Linked DNA regions of Saccharomyces cerevisiae S288C. The gene in region 1 interacts genetically with each later gene. Each region holds a gene or a part of one and is shown in the gene's direction. Other genes may lie near its edges.

Region 1 (2,744 bases):
CGGTACTATTCTCAGGAGGAATTGATTGTTCAGTAATAGTAGCGTTGATCTGCGAGGTGTTGCAAGAAAATGATTATAAATGTGGAAAACCAGTTATAGAGCTTCTAAATGTATCCTTCGAAAACCCCAGGACTGGTCTTTTTCCCAGTGATACACCTGATAGAAAACTGTCCATTAACAGTGCAAAGACTTTACAAAACTTATATCCTAATGTTGATATCAAACTGGTTGAAGTTGACGTTCCTTATGATGAGTATTTAAAATGGAAGCCATTTGTTATCAATTTAATGTATCCTAAACAGACTGAAATGGACTTGTCTATAGCCATTGCTTTTTTTTTTGCGTCGAGAGGTAGAGGTTTCTTAACTTCTCTGAATGGGGAAAGAACGCCATATCAGCGCCATGGGATAGTGTTATTCAGCGGACTGGGAGCAGACGAACTCTACGGTGGATATCACAAGTTTGCCAACAAACCACCCCATGAACTTGTGGAGGAACTTACAAGGCAAATAAACAACATTTATGATCGCAACCTGAATCGTGATGATAAAGTGATAGCTCATAATGGCGTGGAGGTGAGATACCCATTTTTAGATGAATATGTTATAAAGTTATCTACAGCAGAAATTCCCATTAATTTCAAGGTTAACAAATTAATCCTTCGAAAAGTTGCCTCGCAGTATTTGAAGTTGGATGGAATATCATCAGAACCAAAAAGGGCCATTCAATTCGGTGCTAAAAGCGCTAAAATGACAAAGGATGGTAATAAGCATGGAACAGATTTATTAAAAGAAAATAGGAATTGTTCATAAATTCAAATATTCAATATATTTTGCAGCTTGTTCAAAATTAAATGCTAAAAGTAGAGTAAATCCGTTGAACATACATAGTTTTGTAATGTCATTAAGGGTATCTTCAGAGTTGTTATCGTCTACTATGAATATCAGTATATTATTTTCGTTTCTAGATAAGGGCTGCATTCTCCTAGAGATATAATCGACATATAATTTGTGATAAGTCAAAGTTAAGAACAGTACACTTCTTCCACGAACTAGATAGTCGTAGTATATCATATTAATTCCTGTTGAAGATACATATCTCCAATTGGTGCTCTTTAAGTGGTTCAGGAGTGGATTTTCTTTTTGGGTAGTGTTCACTAGTACAGTTTTTCCCGGTCGAGTACTCCTGAAGGGTCTCTTTCGATTATAGTCATCTGTAGCCTTTGAGTCGGTCCATTCTTCCGGTTTTTGCTGATTGAAGGCGTTTATGACCTGGTTTGAATTTATGCGTCTTGATGTTTGCGGTTCCTGCTGCTGGAGTTTTGATGCATCTATTTCTAACGATTGAGATCCAGTAGTATCTGCACCACTCTTTTCCTTTCTCAATTTGGCCACACCAGCCAATATACTTTCAAATGAAGTAGGATCAGTATTGTTCATCTTCTAGGATAACCAACTTTGTTTATGCCCTTTTTTGTGTTGCGTGGCTGTCTCATAAGTTACAATTTTCTTTTTTGTTCTAACGATTTTAAATAGAAAAGTGTCTTAGATGAAAATCTTGCTGTGACCCAAACAAGAAAGAGCACTGTAAAAATCAAGCCATGTCCTCTCAAAAAAGTATGTAAATGAATAGCTCCTTCGTTGTTGCCACCGTACAGACACTTTACTAACTTTTAAGTTACTACATGTTCGAAACTTAGTCGATTTAACTAAACTAAATCCCGAGCAGCTGAATGCTGTAAAACAGCAATTCGACCAAGAATTGCAGCATTTCACACAGTCCTTGCAAGCATTAACCATGGCTAAGGGCAAGTTCACAGAATGTATTGATGATATTAAAACAGTCTCCCAAGCAGGAAATGAAGGGCAAAAACTACTGGTTCCAGCATCTGCATCATTATACATCCCAGGTAAGATTGTAGACAATAAGAAATTCATGGTCGACATTGGTACAGGATATTACGTTGAAAAGAGCGCTGAAGCAGCAATCGCATTTTACCAAAAGAAAGTAGACAAGCTTAACAAAGAATCTGTACAGATCCAAGATATTATTAAGGAAAAGACCCAGTATTCCTTGTCCATCGAGGCCCAAATAAGACAAGCCGCTATTAGACAGCATGAAGCGATGAGTAAACAACAACAGCAGCAACAAAAAAAGGAGTCGTCTACAGCCTAGGTAACTCTTTTGCTTTTCCTACGATTTTTCATATCTCATTTGTAGCCATCTGATATACGTTTATCTATATGCAACGTAATTTTTTATTTATCGTCACTTTGTAGTTTTCCGGAAAAGGCCATTGAAAATTTTTCAAATTCCTATGGCGATGAGCTGAAAAAATTCATTAAGTGTGCATTCAATAACATCTTGTTATATACTAATAAAAGAGGCTTCAAGACAAAATAAGCTAACTTAAATATGGCAAAAAAGAAATCTAAGAGCAGATCCAAGAGTTCTAGAAGAGTTTTGGATGCTTTGCAACTTGCTGAGAGAGAAATTAATGGTGAATTCGATAACTCCAGCGACAATGACAAAAGACATGATGCTCGTCGTAATGGTACAGTTGTCAACTTGTTAAAAAGGTCAAAAGGTGACACTAACAGTGATGAAGATGATATCGATTCTGAGTCGTTTGAAGATGAGGAGTTGAACTCTGATGAAGCGTTGGGCTCTGATGATGACTATGACATTTTGAATTCCAAATTCTCACAAACTATTCGTGACAAGAAGGAGAATGCAAACTACCA
Region 2 (5,022 bases), on another chromosome or scaffold:
TCACCATAACAACATTTTTCTAGGGTCTTCAATCAACTCTTTAACAGTCTTCAAGAAGGTAACAGCTTCTCTACCATCTAGCAATCTATGATCATAAGTCAAAGCCAAGTACATCATTGGTCTTGAGACAATTTGTCCATTAACAGTGACAGGTCTCTCTTTGACACCATGCAAGCCTAGGACGGCTGTTTGTGGTGAATTGATGATAGGAGTACCGTATAATGAACCAAAAACACCACCATTAGATATGGTGAAAGTACCACCCGTCATATCTTCTAGGGTTAATTTGCCATCACGCGCTTTATGACTCAAGCGAACAATTTCGTTCTCAATATCTAAAACACTCAATGACTCTGCATTACGAACGACGGGGGTAACCAAACCCTTTGGAGTGGCCACAGCAACAGAAATATCTGTGTAATCACGATAAACAATCTGGTCACCTTCAATGGCACCATTGACGGCTGGAATATCCTTGGCGGCCAAGGTACATGCTTTGGAGAAAAGACCCATGAATCCGAATTTAGTACCGGTCTTCTTAATAATCTCATCTTTATACAGTTTCCTCATTTCCATCAAAGCTGACATGTCAACTTCGTTGAATGTGGTTAAGGAAGCAGCAGTGTTTTGAGACTCTTTTAATCTTTCGGCAATCCTCAATCTCATACGGTTCATTTTGACCCTGGTTTCTGTACGTGGAAATGGTGTGAAAGAGTTAGAGGCTACTGGGGGTTCCTGCGCCTTAGAGACGGTCTTCTTTGGTTGATCAGCCTTTTTTGGTTCTGTAACTTCTTTCTTTGGAGCGGCTTCTTTCTTTGGAGCAGCTTCTTTCTTTGAAGCCGTTTCCTCACTTGAGTTTTCCCTTGCGGCGACACCTTGCGATGGCTCCGCTTGTTCGGTAGGCTCTGGCTTAGATTCTCCAGAACCCTCAGCAGGTGCTTCACCAGGCTCGACCTGAGCTAACTCCTCACCAACAGTGACAGTGTCCTCTGGTTTGAAATTTAGCTTCGTAACAGTACCTGATACTGGCGAATTGACCTCAATATCAATTTTATCGGTCTCAATAGTGGCCAACAGCTCGTCCTCCTTAATAAAATCACCAACGTTTTTAGTATATTCCTTTAAAGAGCCTTCAGTCAGGGACTCTGCCATCGGAGGAACTTCAATAGAGGTAGATTTAAAACGATTGCTAGTTATGGAGAACGGATTCGCCGCAACTGAAATTTTCTTGCCGGATAAATATATTGAACCTAAGGATTCGACCTTGTTAGCTTGTTTGAACAAACTTGTAGAAGCATGTCTCTTGACGAAAGAAGCAGCCATAACATTTCTAGCCACTTTAGATTTTACTAAGGATTTGGCAGCTGCAGTACGCGTCGCTCTGGAAAGCATTGTTTAAATAATTATCTGAAGTTGTGTCTTTGGTTGTAACAAATGTGGTAGTGAAGTTTATAACAATATATCTATTCACTGATATATACCGTTAAAGATAGCTGCCTAATTTTTTATTTCGGATTTTTCTTTTTTTTACGTTAGATATTTCCTCCCCTGAAGCTCAAAAAGAGATTATATATGAAAAGTAGGCCTAGTTGAGGGAAAAAGGATTTGCATTTGCTGATAGACCAAGTGTGGATCCGAGCCCTGTAGTAGAATGGTGCTAATGTAGAATAAGAATAAGCTTTAGGAACCATAGATTCCTGCGTAATTTGTGGCCGCTTTATTGGCTCACTCCGGGCAGGACCTTAGTTTTGATTGGCTGCAAAAAAAGGGTTGTTAATATCGTCTTTGACGGAGATGCGGGTGGCTGGAATTGTTTTGTTTATTATTCCCCAAGAGAGAAGAGACAAGAAGTAGTAATGACGATGGAACAAAGATCGGTTCTAATAGGACCACAGGGTTGAATAGAGACGAGTAAAGACGCAACGGTCAAGGCTTTCCACGAGACGTTCGAATATGTCCCACAACAACAGGCATAAAAAGAATAACGATAAAGACAGCTCAGCAGGGCAGTATGCAAATAGCATTGACAATTCATTAAGCCAGGAAAGCGTCTCAACGAACGGCGTAACAAGGATGGCTAACTTAAAGGCTGATGAATGCGGCAGTGGTGATGAAGGAGATAAAACAAAGCGGTTTTCGATTTCAAGTATTTTGAGTAAAAGAGAGACAAAAGACGTGCTTCCGGAATTTGCAGGCAGTAGTTCCCACAATGGAGTACTCACGGCGAATTCATCAAAGGATATGAACTTTACTTTGGAACTAAGCGAGAATTTGTTGGTTGAGTGTAGGAAATTGCAATCCTCTAATGAAGCTAAAAATGAGCAAATCAAGTCTCTCAAGCAAATTAAAGAGTCATTAAGTGACAAGATTGAGGAGCTCACTAACCAAAAAAAGTCCTTCATGAAAGAGTTGGATTCAACTAAAGATTTAAACTGGGATTTAGAATCTAAATTAACAAACTTGAGCATGGAATGTAGGCAATTAAAAGAATTGAAGAAAAAGACTGAAAAATCTTGGAATGATGAAAAAGAAAGCCTGAAACTTCTGAAAACAGATTTGGAAATTTTAACATTAACAAAAAATGGCATGGAAAATGATCTTAGCTCTCAAAAACTTCATTACGATAAAGAGATTAGTGAATTAAAGGAAAGGATTTTAGACTTAAATAATGAAAACGACAGATTACTTATTAGTGTTTCTGATCTAACAAGTGAAATTAATTCCTTACAGAGCAATAGAACTGAAAGAATAAAAATTCAAAAGCAACTTGATGACGCCAAAGCATCTATTTCTTCGTTAAAAAGAAAAGTACAAAAGAAGTATTATCAAAAACAGCATACTTCCGATACTACAGTAACATCTGATCCTGATTCTGAGGGGACCACTAGTGAAGAAGACATTTTTGATATAGTGATCGAAATTGACCACATGATTGAAACAGGCCCCTCTGTCGAGGACATTTCTGAAGATCTTGTCAAGAAATACTCAGAAAAAAACAATATGATATTGTTATCGAATGATTCATATAAAAACTTACTACAAAAAAGTGAAAGTGCATCCAAACCAAAAGACGATGAATTAATGACCAAAGAGGTGGCTGAAAACCTGAATATGATCGCGTTACCAAATGATGACAATTACAGCAAAAAAGAGTTTTCGTTAGAATCTCATATTAAATATTTAGAAGCTTCTGGCTATAAAGTTCTTCCTCTAGAGGAGTTTGAGAACCTAAACGAATCCCTATCAAATCCATCATATAACTATCTCAAGGAAAAACTTCAGGCTTTGAAAAAGATACCCATCGATCAAAGTACGTTTAACTTGTTAAAAGAGCCTACTATTGATTTTTTACTGCCTTTAACATCCAAAATTGATTGCCTGATAATACCTACCAAAGATTATAATGACCTTTTTGAGAGTGTCAAGAATCCATCAATTGAACAAATGAAAAAATGCCTGGAAGCAAAGAACGACTTACAATCGAATATTTGTAAATGGCTGGAGGAGAGAAACGGCTGTAAATGGCTAAGTAATGATCTGTATTTTTCAATGGTTAATAAGATAGAAACACCTTCGAAACAATACCTGTCAGATAAGGCAAAAGAATACGACCAAGTGCTGATTGATACTAAAGCCTTAGAAGGTTTAAAGAACCCAACGATAGACTTTCTAAGAGAAAAAGCTTCTGCATCAGATTATTTATTACTCAAAAAAGAAGACTACGTGAGCCCATCACTGGAATACCTAGTTGAACATGCCAAGGCCACCAATCACCATTTACTATCGGATAGTGCATACGAAGACCTAGTCAAGTGCAAGGAGAATCCTGATATGGAATTCTTGAAGGAGAAGTCTGCCAAACTAGGCCACACTGTGGTATCCAACGAGGCATATTCTGAATTGGAAAAGAAACTAGAACAACCATCACTGGAATACCTAGTTGAACATGCCAAGGCGACCAATCACCATTTACTATCGGATAGTGCATACGAAGACCTAGTCAAGTGCAAGGAGAATCCTGATATGGAATTCTTGAAGGAGAAGTCTGCCAAACTAGGCCATACTGTGGTATCCAACGAGGCATATTCTGAATTGCAACGCAAATACTCAGAATTGGAGAAGGAAGTAGAACAACCATCTCTAGCATACTTAGTTGAACACGCCAAGGCTACCGATCACCATTTACTATCGGATAGTGCATACGAAGACCTAGTCAAGTGCAAGGAGAATCCTGATGTGGAATTCTTGAAGGAGAAGTCTGCTAAACTAGGCCATACTGTGGTATCTAGCGAGGAATATTCTGAATTGCAACGCAAATACTCAGAATTGGAGAAGGAAGTAGAACAACCATCACTAGCATACCTAGTCGAACACGCCAAGGCTACCGATCACCATTTACTATCGGATAGTGCATACGAAGAACTAGTCAAGTGCAAGGAGAATCCTGATATGGAATTCTTGAAGGAGAAGTCTGCCAAACTAGGCCACACTGTGGTATCCAACGAGGCATATTCTGAATTGGAAAAGAAACTAGAACAACCATCACTAGCATACCTAGTCGAACATGCCAAGGCTACCGATCACCATCTGCTATCGGATAGTGCATACGAAGACCTAGTCAAGTGCAAGGAAAATTCTGATGTAGAATTCTTGAAGGAGAAGTCTGCTAAACTAGGCCATACTGTGGTATCCAACGAAGCATATTCTGAATTGGAAAAGAAACTAGAACAACCATCACTAGCATACCTAGTCGAACATGCCAAGGCTACCGATCACCATCTGCTATCGGATAGTGCATACGAAGACCTAGTCAAGTGCAAGGAGAATCCTGATATGGAATTCTTGAAGGAGAAGTCTGCCAAACTAGGCCACACTGTGGTATCCAACGAGGCATATTCTGAATTGGAAAAGAAACTAGAACAACCATCACTGGAATACCTAGTTGAACATGCCAAGGCCACCAATCACCATTTACTATCGGATAGTGCATACGAAGACCTAGTCAAGTGCAAGGAGAATCCT
Region 3 (3,254 bases), on another chromosome or scaffold:
TAATGCTGCATGCCTTCAGTACTTCGAGGGAACCGTAAGGGATTGCTGTCTTTAGCGAGTCTAGAAAAATACAATTGATTCTTGTGACTTCATCTATTGTAGGTGGGAAGAGTCGATTTAATTTGGTTGTGGATAACCCATTAATTTCTTCATTGAGTACTCTGACTCTCAAGGCGATCAGGAATTTTTGCAAAAATTCTACCAAATTGAAAGTAAAATTTGTTTGTAGTTGTAATAACTCGTTGCAAATGGCCTTGACAAGATCATCATCCGATTCTGTGGGTAATTCGTCCTCTGGCGCCTTATAACCATATTCTGTCTGTTCCGGTGAGTATTCTGTGACTGGGTTAAAAAGTTGTTCAAGTTGTTCACCCAGATGGAATACCAACCTATTATTTAGTTCGATGGTGGATTCATTGTTTTCATAAATAACATCTAACAGGGTAGAGCTGACAAATCTATTTTGCAGAAGTCCTGATGTAAAGAAGCGCTTCCCCAGATCTTCTGGAGGAACTGCTGTTATCAACTGGCAACTACTAGCCAAATCTCCAGCATAAGGGGGGTCATAGTCGCAATTTTCCGATTTATTGGACAATATTTGTGATAAGTCTGATGGTGAAAGTAATGGATAGCGCTGTAACAGAATGACAGCAATGCATTTCTTAACATTGCTTTCCTGATCACTTGGACTCAAATTCTCAATGGCCGGATAGTATTGCGAGTTGGAAGATATATCGACGGATTCGAAGCATGATGTTCCTAATTTGTCGAATATTATAGCGTTCAACTTATTGCTGTTGGGGGACTTGTACACGCAGACAAAGAACTTCCCCCATATCAAGTCATCTGACCCGTGATAGAATACTGATTGAGTGAACACATTATCCGTCCAGTCTGAAAGTGATTTATCATCATCAAACAATGAATGACCATTTAGCGGTGTGGTCTCGACAACAGATTTGGATAGTTTGATGTTAAATAAGGTTTCATCGTTCTCTTTGTCTTTCTTTTCAGAGTAAAGAGACGACAGGTCTTTCTCCATTGGTGAGGTGTAAATATACTCTTTTAGCAACCAGATAACAGCCCGAACACGTAATGAGTAGCAGGTAGCAGCAGTAGAATGCGAGTACAGACAAACTAGTGTTGTTTTTACTATCCGCAGTGAGAGAAATCTTCCTCATTGAAGATCAAAGCCTTTGTTTACCATTGTTTTTATTTACCTTTTTAGAATTGTTCGAACAAAACCCTAGGTCTTGGCAACTGGCAATCGCTCAACATGACCTAATTTATAGCTTAGGGTTCTTTTTTGTCAATTCTATGCGTATGACAAAGAGCACCACGATGGTGATCGAAATCTCTAGGAGTAGCATACCACAGCGATATTATTTAGTAGTAGGCGGTTTATTATCTTTGTCCCTTTATACTGTTGTGTTTCTTGCTTATTGCTTCAGTAGGCAGCGTATAGTATAACCAGAAAAAAGTGAAAAATAAACTAAAAAAGCACTATGAGATGAACGGTAAAAATCCACCAGAGATTTGCTCACTAATAATCCTGTACCATGTCCATCAACCTACATTCCGCACCCGAGTATGATCCATCTTATAAGCTGATCCAGTTGACACCAGAGTTACTGGATATAATACAGGATCCGGTTCAAAATCACCAGTTAAGGTTTAAGTCATTGGACAAAGACAAGTCTGAAGTTGTACTGTGTTCGCACGACAAGACTTGGGTGCTGAAGCAGCGCAAACATTCAAACACAGTTCTACTAATGAGAGAATTTGTTCCTGAACAACCTATTACTTTCGACGAAACGCTCTTGTTTGGACTGTCCAAGCCGTACATGGACGTCGTGGGATTCGCCAAGACTGAATCAGAATTTGAGACCAGAGAGACACATGGCGAATTGAACTTGAATTCAGTACCAATATACAACGGAGAACTGGATTTCTCCGACAAAATCATGAAGAGGTCATCTACAAAGGTTATCGGGACCCTGGAAGAACTACTTGAGAACTCACCATGTTCTGCGCTAGAAGGTATATCAAAATGGCATAAGATTGGTGGATCTGTGAAAGACGGTGTGTTGTGTATTCTTTCACAAGACTTCCTTTTCAAAGCACTGCATGTACTACTGATGAGCGCAATGGCAGAATCACTCGATCTACAGCATCTGAATGTTGAGGATACACATCACGCTGTGGGGAAGGACATTGAGGACGAGTTCAATCCATACACAAGAGAAATCATTGAAACAGTGCTGAATAAATTTGCTGTTCAAGAGCAAGAGGCTGAAAACAATACGTGGCGCTTGAGAATACCGTTTATAGCTCAGTGGTACGGGATTCAAGCGCTAAGGAAATATGTTTCTGGAATAAGCATGCCAATTGATGAGTTCCTCATCAAGTGGAAGTCCCTTTTCCCACCTTTCTTCCCATGTGACATTGACATTGACATGCTGCGAGGCTATCATTTCAAGCCTACCGATAAGACTGTCCAGTATATAGCGAAAAGCACACTACCAATGGACCCCAAAGAACGGTTTAAAGTCCTGTTTAGGCTACAGTCACAGTGGGACTTGGAGGATATCAAGCCTCTAATTGAAGAACTAAATTCAAGAGGTATGAAAATAGACAGTTTCATCATGAAGTATGCCCGCCGTAAAAGACTGGGCAAAAAGACCGTGGTCACGAGCAGGTAGCACACAAAACTGCCTTCGATGGGCAATGCGAATATATAGCGGAACCACTAAAGTAATAGTGGATGACGTGAATAGCAACAAATATCTATCATAGTAGCTTTATATATTTATATATATTACAATACTATTATGCACCCTATTACCCGCAATAGTTGATAGTGACCTACCAATTTTAGATACGGTCGCTGACAAATAGTAAGGCCATCGCCCAGGGATATATGATGACTATCTAAGTAACTCACTCAGAGTAAAGACCGACAGAGTTCATTAGTGTGTTATATTTTCTATTTCAGATACATCATTTTCATTAAAATATATCGCATACACGAAGGAACTGCTACAACTGGAAGATGTTGAAATCAACTGCTACAAGATCGATAACAAGATTATCTCAAGTTTACAACGTTCCAGCGGCCACATATAGGGCTTGTTTGGTAAGCAGGAGATTCTATTCCCCTCCTGCAGCAGGCGTGAAGTTAGACGACAACTTCTCTCTGGAAACGCATACCGATATTCAGGCTGCTGCAAAGGCACAGGCTAGTGCCCGTGCGA
Region 4 (4,234 bases), on another chromosome or scaffold:
AGCTGCGATAGTAATCGGTTGTTCTGAATCAATATTTTCACTTTTTTGTATGACATCCTTCAGATCGTTGTACAGATTTGATGTTCTGCGGTGAAAATAGCGAACTAAATTTTCAGCGATCTGTATTTCTGAATTGTTGGGTTCTGGGCCAGAAACGTGCCTCGGAATCTTGAAATTATTTGCAAGGTGATATGGCGCTACCAGATAGCCTGCAGTAGTTAAAAGAAAAAACCCATCAATTAAAAACTGTAGCCATGATATGGGTTCTGTCACCTCATGATGTCGACATGTCGCATTTGTAGAGGCATCCTCTTGTAACTCCCCCAGTATAAGTTTTTCATACACCTCTAAGTCAAGAGGAGTTGCTTTGTTTTGTTCACCAGATGCGGTAAGAATTTCCACTTCTTTTTCTGGTGATTCTTCTATAGTTGAGCTCGAAGTAAGTTTGACTACTATGTCGTAAATTTCAGGCTTATACAACAAAATTTCCTCGCTGGTCGTAGCCACATAACCGTTCCCCTTTTTGAACGACTCTAGAAAAGGAATATCTGATGTTGATACCGTGAAAATAGGCTTAATATATTCATCGCTTACATGGTTTCCTATCAAGTTTTTTGGAAGCATTGATATTAAGAAGACACAATAGGCCAAAGAATTGCACAATTCGAACGATTCTCCTTGAGGAACTAGTATCAATATCCTTGACTGAAGGAGACTTGCTTTCCAAAGTGGAAATATGAGAGGCCCTAACTTCCTTGTCCAGTATGGCAAATATTCAACCAAATGCCGTCTTTCTTTGGGTGAATGTTCAAAGACTTCTACTGAATTTTCAGCCATGTGCCCTTGGTTATTCTCGTCAAAAAACTTTTCAAAAATATCAAACTTATCAAGATCACGCTGCCTTATCCATTGACCGAGTAAACTTTCTAGATAGCTTGAGTATCTGTTGGCAGCATACGCATGGTATATTTCCTTATAAAAGTGCTTTTTACTATCTGATGAGGCATTTTGGACATCGATAATTACACCAAGAGAAAACATTTGAACTTTACTCCTATCAATACGATTGTCATTCTCAATAATATCGAACGAATTTTGTTTGAAATAGGCGATGCCGTAATCATAAGTTGTCGTCTTGGCAGTTTGACAGACATCTAATTCTTTAGGAACTACAAAATTGACAACATCGTCAGTTTGTTCGTGAATACCGGCTGGTAACGATTTAAATTCAATATTGCTTAAGTCAATTGCCGCACCATTAATACTTTTAGACCATATTATGATATTTCCCTTTTTCATGTCAAATTTACTTAAGAAGATGCAAGCAATTCCCGGTTTTTCACCATTTGAGTTTAAAAGTTGAGTAATATTAAATACATTTGGCTTTATAGTTGGTTCTTCACCTCCGGAATTCATAGTGCTTCGAGGAACTTACTTGATCCTTCTTGAAGTAGCTATTAAGTTGTTCGAAATGAAGTAATTATTAAAATAGAAGTAAATCATTAAATGATGCCGCTCAACAGAGGTTATGCCAAATTAGTATATAGCATGATTTTACATCACTTTAAACGTATAATTTGTGAATGATGAGGTAGCAACAAATAAACAATGCAACAGTCTCTAGTCCTATGAACTAATTTGGCCTTGAAAACCCCCCGATGATACTTCTTTAGGTGTTACAAACTTACTCGCATAGATATTATTTTTTGAACGCCAGGTTAACAATAATTACTTAGCATGAAATGTCACCTCGACAGCTTATACCGACATTAATTCCGGAATGGGCACCATTATCCCAGCAATCGTGCATAAGAGAGGATGAGTTAGATAGTCCCCCGATAACGCCTACGAGCCAGACATCTTCATTTGGTTCTTCTTTTTCTCAACAGAAACCAACCTATAGTACAATTATAGGAGAAAATATACACACGATCCTGGATGAAATTCGACCATATGTGAAAAAAATAACTGTTAGTGACCAAGATAAGAAAACTATAAACCAATATACGCTAGGAGTCTCTGCAGGAAGTGGACAATTTGGTTATGTACGAAAAGCGTACAGTTCTACTTTAGGCAAGGTTGTTGCTGTCAAGATTATACCAAAAAAACCTTGGAATGCCCAGCAATATTCAGTAAATCAAGTAATGAGGCAAATCCAGCTTTGGAAGAGTAAAGGAAAAATAACGACAAATATGAGTGGTAATGAGGCTATGAGACTTATGAATATCGAAAAATGTAGGTGGGAAATTTTTGCGGCTTCAAGACTTCGAAATAATGTTCATATTGTGCGACTAATAGAATGCTTGGACTCTCCTTTCAGCGAATCTATCTGGATAGTCACTAATTGGTGCAGCCTTGGTGAACTACAGTGGAAACGTGACGATGATGAAGATATTTTACCGCAATGGAAAAAAATTGTGATTTCAAATTGTAGTGTTTCTACATTTGCCAAAAAAATCCTGGAGGATATGACAAAAGGGTTGGAATATTTGCATTCTCAGGGTTGTATTCATCGTGATATCAAACCGTCCAATATTTTATTGGATGAAGAAGAAAAAGTAGCGAAACTTTCTGATTTTGGAAGTTGTATTTTCACTCCCCAATCATTACCTTTCAGCGATGCTAATTTTGAAGATTGTTTTCAGAGGGAATTGAACAAAATTGTTGGTACTCCGGCATTTATTGCACCAGAGCTATGTCATTTGGGCAATTCCAAAAGAGATTTTGTGACGGATGGCTTTAAGTTGGATATTTGGTCATTGGGAGTGACACTATACTGCTTACTGTACAACGAGCTGCCATTTTTCGGGGAAAATGAATTCGAAACCTACCACAAAATCATCGAAGTATCATTGAGTTCCAAAATAAATGGTAATACTTTAAACGATTTAGTCATTAAAAGGTTATTGGAGAAAGACGTTACTTTACGCATAAGTATTCAGGATTTAGTAAAGGTTTTGTCGCGTGACCAGCCCATAGATTCTAGGAATCACAGTCAAATTTCATCGTCCAGTGTGAACCCCGTAAGAAACGAAGGTCCTGTAAGAAGATTTTTTGGTAGGCTACTGACTAAAAAAGGAAAGAAAAAGACCTCAGGAAAAGGGAAAGACAAGGTATTGGTATCTGCAACTAGTAAAGTAACACCTTCGATACATATCGACGAGGAACCGGATAAAGAATGTTTTTCGACTACGGTCCTTAGATCTTCGCCAGACTCGAGCGATTATTGTTCATCGTTAGGGGAGGAAGCCATTCAGGTTACGGATTTCTTAGATACTTTTTGTAGGTCAAATGAAAGCTTACCTAATTTGACTGTGAATAATGATAAGCAGAATTCGGACATGAAAACTGACAGAAGCGAGTCATCCTCTCATTCGTCATTGAAAATCCCAACACCTATCAAAGCCATGATAAGACTAAAGAGTTCCCCTAAAGAGAACGGGAACAGAACCCATATTAATTGCTCACAGGACAAACCGAGTTCCCCACTAATGGATAGGACTGTTGGAAAGCGCACGGTTAACAATTCAGGGGCTAGAAAGCTTGCTCATTCAAGTAATATTCTCAACTTTAAAGCATACATAAATTCGGAAGATAGTGACATTCGAGAAACAGTAGAAGATGTAAAAACGTATCTGAACTTTGCAGATAATGGTCAAATATAGATGAAACTACAGGATGATATCTGTCGGATTGGGTTAGCTGATAATCGTATAGCCGATGTGAAATATGATTATTAATTGATTTACTTGGTTATGGTAAATACATAAATATATATATAGAAACGGCAAATTACCCACATTTGCATTTGTATTAATAACACTAAAGATAATATTCATAATATACCATCATTGATAATTGAAATCGACATCAACATTTATCAATTGAGAGTTTAGTGGTCTTCTATTGCGAGAATATCGAACGATATGATTTATCTTGATCCCACTGTGTCGCGAAATCGCGGAAGTAAATTGAAAACAAAAGAAAAACAAAACTTCATCGATAAATATTGAGAAAACATCTCTTAAAAACAGTAGTAGATAATCTTGAGAATTTACTTTATAAAAAACAGAAGAAGGACTGAATATAGAAAGAATACTAATATAACATAATCATGTCAAGTAAACAACAATGGGTTAGTTCTGCTATTCAAAGTGATTCGAGTGGAAGATCACTCAGTAACGTCAACAGGCTTGCAGGAGACCAACAATCTATTAACGATCGTGCGTTATCG

What was found.
Region 2: mutations in GIM5 (region 1) and NUM1 together harm fitness more than expected from each alone (negative genetic interaction), as found in Saccharomyces cerevisiae (5 studies listed by BioGRID, with this or other methods).
Region 3: mutations in GIM5 (region 1) and DCC1 together harm fitness more than expected from each alone (negative genetic interaction), as found in Saccharomyces cerevisiae (6 studies listed by BioGRID, with this or other methods).
Region 4: mutations in GIM5 (region 1) and ELM1 together harm fitness more than expected from each alone (negative genetic interaction), as found in Saccharomyces cerevisiae (6 studies listed by BioGRID, with this or other methods).

The regions. Positions count from the first base shown.
Region 1 is NC_001145.3:80,675-83,418, forward strand, and holds GIM5 (Gim5p), read left to right. Parts: upstream 1-1,600; coding exon 1,601-1,616; intron 1,617-1,699; coding exon 1,700-2,175; downstream 2,176-2,744. Other genes in the region: YML096W (putative asparagine synthase), read left to right, coding at 1-812; DNA repair protein RAD10, read right to left, coding at 807-1,439; UTP14 (Utp14p), read left to right, coding at 2,416-2,744.
Region 2 is NC_001136.10:753,675-758,696, forward strand, and holds the start of NUM1 (Num1p), read left to right. Parts: upstream 1-1,953; coding exon 1,954-5,022. Other genes in the region: KGD2 (dihydrolipoyl transsuccinylase), read right to left, coding at 1-1,392. UniProt on the Saccharomyces cerevisiae protein: Controls nuclear migration. NUM1 specifically controls the interaction of the bud neck cytoskeleton with the pre-divisional G2 nucleus. Functions in dynein-anchoring.
Region 3 is NC_001135.5:94,069-97,322, reverse strand, and holds DCC1 (Dcc1p), read left to right. Parts: upstream 1-1,559; coding exon 1,560-2,702; downstream 2,703-3,254. Other genes in the region: BUD3 (Bud3p), read right to left, coding at 1-1,042; NFS1 (cysteine desulfurase), read left to right, coding at 3,053-3,254. UniProt on the Saccharomyces cerevisiae protein: Component of the RFC-like complex CTF18-RFC which is required for efficient establishment of chromosome cohesion during S-phase and may load or unload POL30/PCNA.
Region 4 is NC_001143.9:346,645-350,878, reverse strand, and holds ELM1 (serine/threonine protein kinase ELM1), read left to right. Parts: upstream 1-1,742; coding exon 1,743-3,665; downstream 3,666-4,234. Other genes in the region: ANR2 (Anr2p), read right to left, coding at 1-1,416; centromeric DNA-binding histone H3-like protein CSE4, read left to right, coding at 4,115-4,234. UniProt on the Saccharomyces cerevisiae protein: Important role in G1 events required for bud emergence and septin organization. Coordinates cell growth and cell division at G2/M, essential for efficient cytokinesis and for regulation of SWE1.